2 linked regions of the Xenopus tropicalis genome follow. The protein of the gene in region 1 interacts with the protein of each later gene in a biochemical or structural test. Links are inferred from orthologs where the notes say so. Each region holds a gene or a part of one and is shown in the gene's direction. Other genes may lie near its edges.

Region 1 (4,377 bases):
GTCAATAAAGTGTGTTGAAATGTAGTAAAAGTTGCTGGCAGAAAAAATATACTCAATGCAAAAATATTTTCTTTATGCATGTTAACATCTATGTAGTACAGGGGGCCTCAAACCCCAAGGTCATTTACCCGGCCCCCACCCCCGCTGCATCCCTAACCCTGGCTACTACCTGTCTGCCTTATCATGGTCCTCGGGCCCCATCGCGTTGCGTCACCGCAGCACTGAGGCTGGGGACCACGCTGCCAGGGGTGAGGATGCAGTGGGGGCCGGGGGGGGCATAGTGTGAGGACTAACTATAGTCTGGCCCCCCAACAGTCTGAGGGACCATGAACTGGCCCCCTGTTTAAAAAGTTTGAGGACCCCTGATGTAGTATAACTCAGAAAGTAATTTAGCTATTCACTCACTGTTGACCTATATTAAAGTTTGTGGCACTTTGCAGTGTATCTAATAAAACTTCATGTAATTTGCACACATATATAATATTATAAGTAGTTTTGTGGCCCATGTGGAATTATTGAGTACAGGTATGGGACCTGTTATCCAGAATGCTCAGGACCTCTGGTTTCATGAATAGGGGATCTTCCCATAATTTGGATCTCCATACTTTAAGTCTACTAAAAATCATTTAAACATTAAATAAACAATATAATTGTTTCACCCACAATAAGGATTAATTATATTTTAGTTGGGATCAAGTACAAAGTACTGTTTTGTTATTACTGAGAAAAAGGGAATCACTTTTAAAAATTTTATTAAAATGGAGTCCATGGGAAATGGCCTCCTTCAGAGCTGTCCAGATAACAGGTTTCCGGATAATGGATCCCATACCTGTATAAGCATATGCATTTTAGTGGTACAACTAGTGGACCCAAGAAATAAAAAATATGAAAAAATATTGTTTTAGATGCATTTTGTTTTGTATATAGAAATGTAGCTAAAATATTTGTTTCTATTATATTTCATCATTTTACTCAAGGTCTTTTCTGCAGCAAGTTTTGTATGGCACTTTAAAAAACCTTATTGGGTAGAGGGGGTGATATAATCTATCAAAAAGCTTGCATCCTCACAATAGGAAGACATCTGTAACTGGAACAAATTGATTTGCATTAACCTTTTGGGGCAAATGTTGTGATTGAAGGCTGTAGCAAGTTCTCCATTCCCTTGTATCTCAACGAAAGCATTATATCACAGATCTGTCTGGCATGTCCGCTGCCGTATAATTAGCATTTGCAGACACCAGTTTATCTTTATTCTGATTGGTTGCTACACAAAGGGTGGAGGGGTTTATTCATTCTATTGCTTTCCACTGTATAAAATCTTCGGCTGCCTTACTGGTGATGCTGCATCTGAAGTCTGAAATAGCATTGTGTATCCTGCCTCTCAGTATCCAAGCAACATATTGGAATAACCTAGAAAATAGCTACAAAGTTTTTTTGGTCATAAAATACCATGGATACAGGAAGCAGTTTGCATGAAAATCGGAAGATCTGAAGAAACGTACATATCTTGTCATAAATGCCACTGTGGATCTTTTTCCTATTAACATACTGGATTGCATTTCATAATTGATAATATCAAACTTGGCAGCTTCTGGGAGAAAGCCAATCATATGTTTTTCATCACTAAGTAAATGGTGGGAATAATGAATTTCACGCATCACCATGAGCCACATCACCTGCACTATCGTAACCACAGTCGCACCGTTGGCGCTGGAGCAAATGACACTAAAGAGAAAGGCCATCACTCCGGAGGCTGTTACGAACAATTATTTGTGTCCCCTGAAGTGTTTGTCATCCTGGGTATTGTAAGCTTGATGGAAAATATACTGGTTATAGCAGCAATATCGAGAAACAAGAATCTGCATTCCCCCATGTACTTCTTTATCTGTAGCTTGGCAGTAGCTGATATGCTTGTGAGTGTGTCTAATGGCTTTGAAACTGTAGTAATCACACTGTTTAACACTACGGACAAAAATACGCAGCATATCATTGTGAATGTTGACAATATCTTGGATTCTGTTATTTGCAGCTCCTTGCTGGCTTCTATTTGCAGCTTGCTCTCGATAGCAGTGGACAGGTACTTCACTATATTTTATGCCCTGCAGTACCATAATATAATTACTGTGAGGAGAGCAGTGGTCATTATCAGCTGCATCTGGACTGCTTGCTCCATTTCTGGTGTCTTATTTATTATTTATTATGACAGTGCTGTTGTAATTATTTGTCTGATAAGTATAATTTTCACAATGCTTGCTCTGATGGCATCCCTCTATGTGCATATGTTCATGCTGGCCAGGCTTCACATTAAGAGGATTGCTGTTCTACCTGGGACAAACTCAGTACGACAGGTTACCAATATGAAAGGAGCCATTACACTTACAATCTTACTTGGAGTTTTTGTAGCTTGTTGGTCTCCCTTCTTCCTTCATCTCATTTTCTATGTTTCTTGCCCTAGAAACCCTTACTGTGTGTGTTTTATGTCCCACTTTAATATTTACCTTATCCTTATTATGTGCAACTCTGTTATTGATCCACTTATTTATGCACTAAGAAGCCAAGAGCTTAGAAAAACCTTCAAGGAGATGATGTGCTGTTACTGTATGGGAGGAATATGGGACTTTTCTAGCAGTTACTGAAATGCTGATAACTAATTGTTTCAAATGTAATAAGCAGTAATGCATTGTTTATTTGTATTTGTTATCTATGAGAGCTGTGCTAAGGTCTCAGAATACTTACTTACAGTATAAGCAAAGCCAGTTTTAGAATATGGATTGCAACAAGGTTTTCGCAGCATCAGAGAGATTCTCTTGGAAGGAAGAATTCAAATACAGTTTTTACATACCTTAAACATATACATTAAGCATATTCAGCATGTTAACTGTTAATGGCAACTCCCAACATCCCTCTGGTAGCTAAGTAAATGTTCAGAGAGCACTCAGTTGAGCACTTTTTAAGTTTATATATTTTTATTAAATATGTATGATTTATGGCCTAGATCAACCTTCGGGTTGAATGAAATAATCTGTGAGAGAGAACGAAAATCTTCTCATCGCAGGTTGTATGCCCATGTTATCACTTGCTGGGCAGGGCTTTAATTGAACAGAGCAAATCCTGTGCCAAGCACAAGCGCTCTGTTATAACTCAAGGCCTCCTACATAGTTATACCAGGTTGGTGTGAGATTGATCTTTCAGTCAATGGGCAAAACATTTTTAATGAGGGAAATGTTACTACCAATAAGAACATACATGATCTATTAAGGGACAAGCAGCTAAAATATTATACTGTTGGTACTTTCCACTTCTCTTCAACCCACTGTAGCTCCTACCTGCTCTTTTACTTCATATGCTTTATGTGGTTGCGTTGCTGCATAAAACAGCATGTGCATTTTTCCCCATATTGTTTCTGCGTCTCTTTGTGATAGTAAACTGAGTAGACACATTGAAGTTGGTCTGTCCTTCCTAAAAATCTGGTGATATCTGTCATTAGCCCATATTGGGGATCACCAGTAGACCAGGTGCCAAAGGTCACTCTCCTCTCAAAAGAAGCAGAAGCAGTTTAGCATCTACTTAAGCAGCCAGAACTGCCAATCACATGGAGATTAGTTGGTGTGTGATCAGCCATACCCCAAAATGTGTACTGTATTTAAATGATAAAACTGTGTGATATTTGCTGGATATCCTTGTGACCACCTAGACAACAACTGTATGATTGCTCATAACTTTATAATAAAATTTGGGGTAGGGTTTTGCTTTTTTTCGCTTTGTTCCTGGTCATGAGGCTACACTACAACAGAAAACATTAAATGAGGGGTAAAAGCTGTCTTAAAAATTGGCTAATCATATTTGTATATTTTTTTCCCTCTGTGCTATGAAAACTTTTATCATTATCCAGGAACTTATTATCCAGAAAGTTCTAAATTATGGAAAGGTAATTTCCCATAGACTCCATTTTAATAAAATAATTCAAAATTGTAAAGCATATTTCCTTTTTCTCTGTAATGATAAAACAGAACATTGTACTTGATCCCAACTAAGACAGAATTATCCTTATTGGGGCAAAACAATCCTACTGAGTTTATATAATGTTTAAGTGATTTTTAGTAGACTTAAAATATGAAGATCCAAATGACAGAAAGACCCCTTATCTGAAAACCCCCCAGGTCCTGAGCATTTTGGATAATAGGTCCCATACCTGTACTTTATTTCTAAAACTGATGAAATTGGTCCTTATTAAATAAAAGAGAATGACTGTCATTATAAAAAAAACACAGGTTTTTATTATTAAATAAAAACAATATTAGCATAAAATGAGCCGTGTTAATAAATGCATGTTAGAACTATTTCTATAAAAGTAACAGGGCCGGAACTAGGGTTAGG
Region 2 (4,310 bases), on another chromosome or scaffold:
CTATTGGCCCACCCCACTGTCCCACTCCATCCACCCTACTGTCCCACCCTACTGTCCCAACATACTGTCCCACCCTACTGTCCCGTCCCACTGTCCCACCCTACTGTCCCACCCTACTGTCCCACCCCACTCTCCCACCCCACTGTCCCACCCTACTGTCCCACCCCACTGTCCCACCCTACTGTCCCACCCCACTGTCCCACCCCACTGTCCCACCCTACTGTCCCGCCCCACTGTCCCACCCTACTGTCCCACTCCACTGTCCCACCCTACTGTCCCACCCCACTGTCCCACCCTACTGTCCCACTCCACTGCTCCACCCTATTGGCCCACCCCACTGTCCCACTCCATCCACCCTACTGTCCCACCCTACTGTCCCACCCTACTGTCCCACCCTACTGTCCCACCCTACTGTCCCAACATACTGTCCCACCCTACTGTCCCAACATACTGTCCCACCCTACTTTCCCACCCCACTGCTCCACCCTATTGGCCCACCCCACTGTCCCACTCCATCCACCCTACTGTCCCACCCTACTGTCCCAACATACTGTCCCACCCTACTGTCCCAACATACTGTCCCACCCTACTGTCCCACCCCACTAGTACAAGGCCAACCATGACTTTAGAAAGTCCAAATTTAGATGAGCAACTGCCATCCTGAAACAGGAACGAAAGAAAACACTGAAAGAGCTTCAATAGTTACAATTTATAATAGCATTTTCTTCAATTTTGTTCAACTTATTCTTTTTTTCTTGCTATAAGGCCAATGATATGTAACTAGTAGTCTGTCCCACTGTGTAGTAAAAGTAACTTTTGCTTCTTTAGCCCATGTTAAAGAGTTCAATATGGGACCCGTTTTCCAATACTCCTGATATTTCTGATACATGTAGTCGACGCAATCAAGACCTGTTGTGGATTCTGTTAGGGTGGATAGAGGCAATTGACCCCCCTGATCCCCATGTAAATGCCCTTTCTGACCAACACCTGTTCCTTTAGTGGCTTTTCCCTATTAGATGGAAACTGGCCGTCACCCTAATTAAAGAGTAGCAAAACCAATTGGGTTCAACCCGCTCAGAATACACCATTTACGTATTTGCCTTGATCATTTATTGCTATTTAATGCCAACTGCAAAGGGTGAATAGCTTCTAATTAATCTCCGTTAAAAAAGTTCAATCCCGGGGGATTGGGGAACCTTTGTCTTTCTATAGGGAAGGTGCTAATCCCTGTTGTCCACGGAGATATCATGTACATGACTTTCCAGCAACCTTTTCTTTCCTAATCATCCGTTCTGTCTCTTACATGCAACCTTATACCCTGACTTTTCTCCTCCTCCTCCTCTTCTGCTGGGAAAGGTCTGTCCGGAAGATCCTCCGTTCCCTTCTCCCCCCTAGACAATGCTAAAATGTGGTATATAAAGACCAGCCCTGGAGATGAGAGAAGGACACAGGCAAAGAAGTGCACAGCTTGGAAATACTGAAATCAACAGGTAAGAAAGCCCTTTCCCACATACAGTCTCCCTTTCCTCATACATTGCTTATACCTAAGCCTTCCCCTGCCTCTACTTTATTCCTTTTGATTTTTTAAAGTTTAGAAAAAGCCCCCCCAAAAATATTTAATATTCTTTTATTGAAACAGGTTCCCTCTTCGTTTGCTCTTCTTTTATCTGTGTTTTCAAAAATGTACTGCATTGCAATTTCATGGGCAACGATATTAAATAATGACATGAAACAATTTTTAATGGCTTTTAAATGTAATAATATGTGTAAATATAGCAGTTTTAAAATCTAAAATGGTTTTAACGATTTTGTAATACAGGTATAGGATCCGTTATCCAGCTCCAAATTACAGATAGACTCCTTTTTAATCAAATTTTAAAATATGTTTTCCTGTTTTTTCTGTAATAATAAAACAGTACCTGTACTTGATCCCAACTAAGATATAATTACCCCTTATTGGGGCAGAACAGCCCTATTGGGTTTATTTAATGTTTAAATGATTTCCTTTTCTCTGTAATAATAAAACAGTACCTGTACTTGATCCCAACTAAGATATAATTACCCCTTATTGGGGCAGAACAGCCCTATTGGGTTTATTTAATGGTTAAATGATTCCCTTTTCTCTGTAATAATAAAACAGTACCTGTACTTGATCCCAACTAAGATATAATTACCCCTTATTGGGGCAGAACAGCCCTATTGGGTTTATTTAATGGTTAAATGATTCCCTTTTCTCTGTAATAATAAAACAGTACCTGTACTTGATCCCAACTAAGATATAATTACCCCTTATTGGGGCAGAACAGCCCTATTGGGTTTATTTCATGGTTAAATGATTCCCTTTTCTCTGTAATAATAAAACAGTACCTGTACTTGATCCCAACTAAGATATAATTACCCCTTATTGGGGCAGAACAGCCCTATTGGGTTTATTTAATGGTTAAATGATTCCCTTTTCTCTGTAATAATAAAACAGTACCTGTACTTGATCCCAACTAAGATATAATTACCCCTTATTGGGGCAGAACAGTCCTATTGGGTTTATTTAATGGTTAAATGATTCCCTTTTCTCTGTAATAATAAAACAGTACCTGTACTTGATCCCAACTAAGATATAATTACCCCTTATTGGGGCAGAACAGTCCTATTGGGTTTATTTCATGGTTAAATGATTCCCTTTTCTCTGTAATAATAAAACAGTACCTGTACTTGATCCCAACTAAGATATAATTACCCCTTATTGGGGCAGAACAGCCCTATTGGGTTTATTTCATGGTTAAATGATTCCCTTTTCTCTGTAATAATAAAACAGTACCTGTACTTGATCCCAACTAAGATATAATTACCCCTTATTGGGGCAGAACAGTCCTATTGGGTTTATTTCATGGTTAAATGATTCCCTTTTCTCTGTAATAATAAAACAGTACCTGTACTTGATCCCAACTAAGATATAATTACCCCTTATTGGGGGCAGAACAGCCCTATTGGGTTTATTTAATGGTTAAATGATTCCCTTTTCTCTGTAATAATAAAACAGTACCTGTACTTGATCCCAACTAAGATATAATTACCCCTTATTGGGGGCAGAACAGCCCTATTGGGTTTATTTCATGGTTAAATGATTCCCTTTTCTCTGTAATAATAAAACAGTACATGTATTTGATCCCAACTAAGATATAATTACCCCTTATTGGGGGCAGAACAACCCTATTGGGTTTATTTAATGGTTAAATGATTCCCTTTTCTCTGTAATAATAAAACAGTACCTGTACTTGATCCCAACTAAGATATAATTACCCCTTATTGGGGGCAGAACAGCCCTATTGGGTTTATTTAATGGTTAAATGATTCCCTTTTCTCTGTAATAATAAAACAGTACCTGTACTTGATCCCAACTAAGATATAATTACCCCTTATTGGGGGCAGAACAGCCCTATTGGGTTTATTTCATGGTTAAATGATTCCCTTTTCTCTGTAATAATAAAACAGTACCTGTACTTGATCCCAACTAAGATATAATTACCCCTTATTGGGGCAGAACAGCCCTATTGGGTTTATTTCATGGTTAAATGATTCCCTTTTCTCTGTAATAATAAAACAGTACCTGTACTTGATCCCAACTAAAATAGTTTATAGTTAACTGAATCTATCATGGCAGCAACTGGTTAATGCAGAGACACACATATATAAATAAATAAGTAAATATATATATATATATACACTCACACACATATTTATTCAATAACGTCGCAGCAATGAAAACACTTTACTGTAGAACAGTTTGAAGTTGGAGCTGAATGGCTGCGCAGCGCGGGGCTCCATACAATTCATACAAAGGCACCAAGGTTATTCTTCAAACCCTCTTATCAATATTTATTCTTTTTTATCTCTTTATTTGGTGAGTTTTATTGGCTCTGATAAACTTACTGTATATGTAATGTGTATCCTACACCGGCGTTAGAGTTGTTTAATTCCAAGCAAGTTATACAGATTATGTCCAATGTGTTATTTGGATTTAATTATAGTTTTATTACACAAGGGACTAAACGTTTTTCACTGTCATTCTTTTTCCCATATATATATATATATATGCAGTATATATATATGTATATATGTGTGTGTATGTGTTTGGGGTAACAGAATGAAAGTGAAAACACAAGAACAACAGATCCTATTAGAAACACAACCCATTCATTCATTTTCTATATAAAATATATAATAAAATGTATTATTTTGACTCACTTACAGTTGTATTGGACAAGGGACTAAAAGTTTTTTACCTTCATTCTTTATCCTATGTATCTATCTCT

What was found.
Region 2: the proteins of mc4r (region 1) and pomc form a complex in vitro, tested with the Homo sapiens proteins (2 studies listed by BioGRID). The link is inferred for Xenopus tropicalis from reciprocal best matches to the Homo sapiens genes MC4R and POMC.

The regions. Positions count from the first base shown.
Region 1 is NC_030682.2:84,341,104-84,345,480, reverse strand, and holds mc4r (melanocortin receptor 4), read left to right. Parts: upstream 1-1,340; 5' UTR 1,341-1,631; coding exon 1,632-2,636; 3' UTR 2,637-3,959; downstream 3,960-4,377.
Region 2 is NC_030681.2:153,208,715-153,213,024, reverse strand, and holds the start of pomc (pro-opiomelanocortin precursor), read left to right. Parts: upstream 1-1,451; 5' UTR 1,452-1,490; intron 1,491-4,310.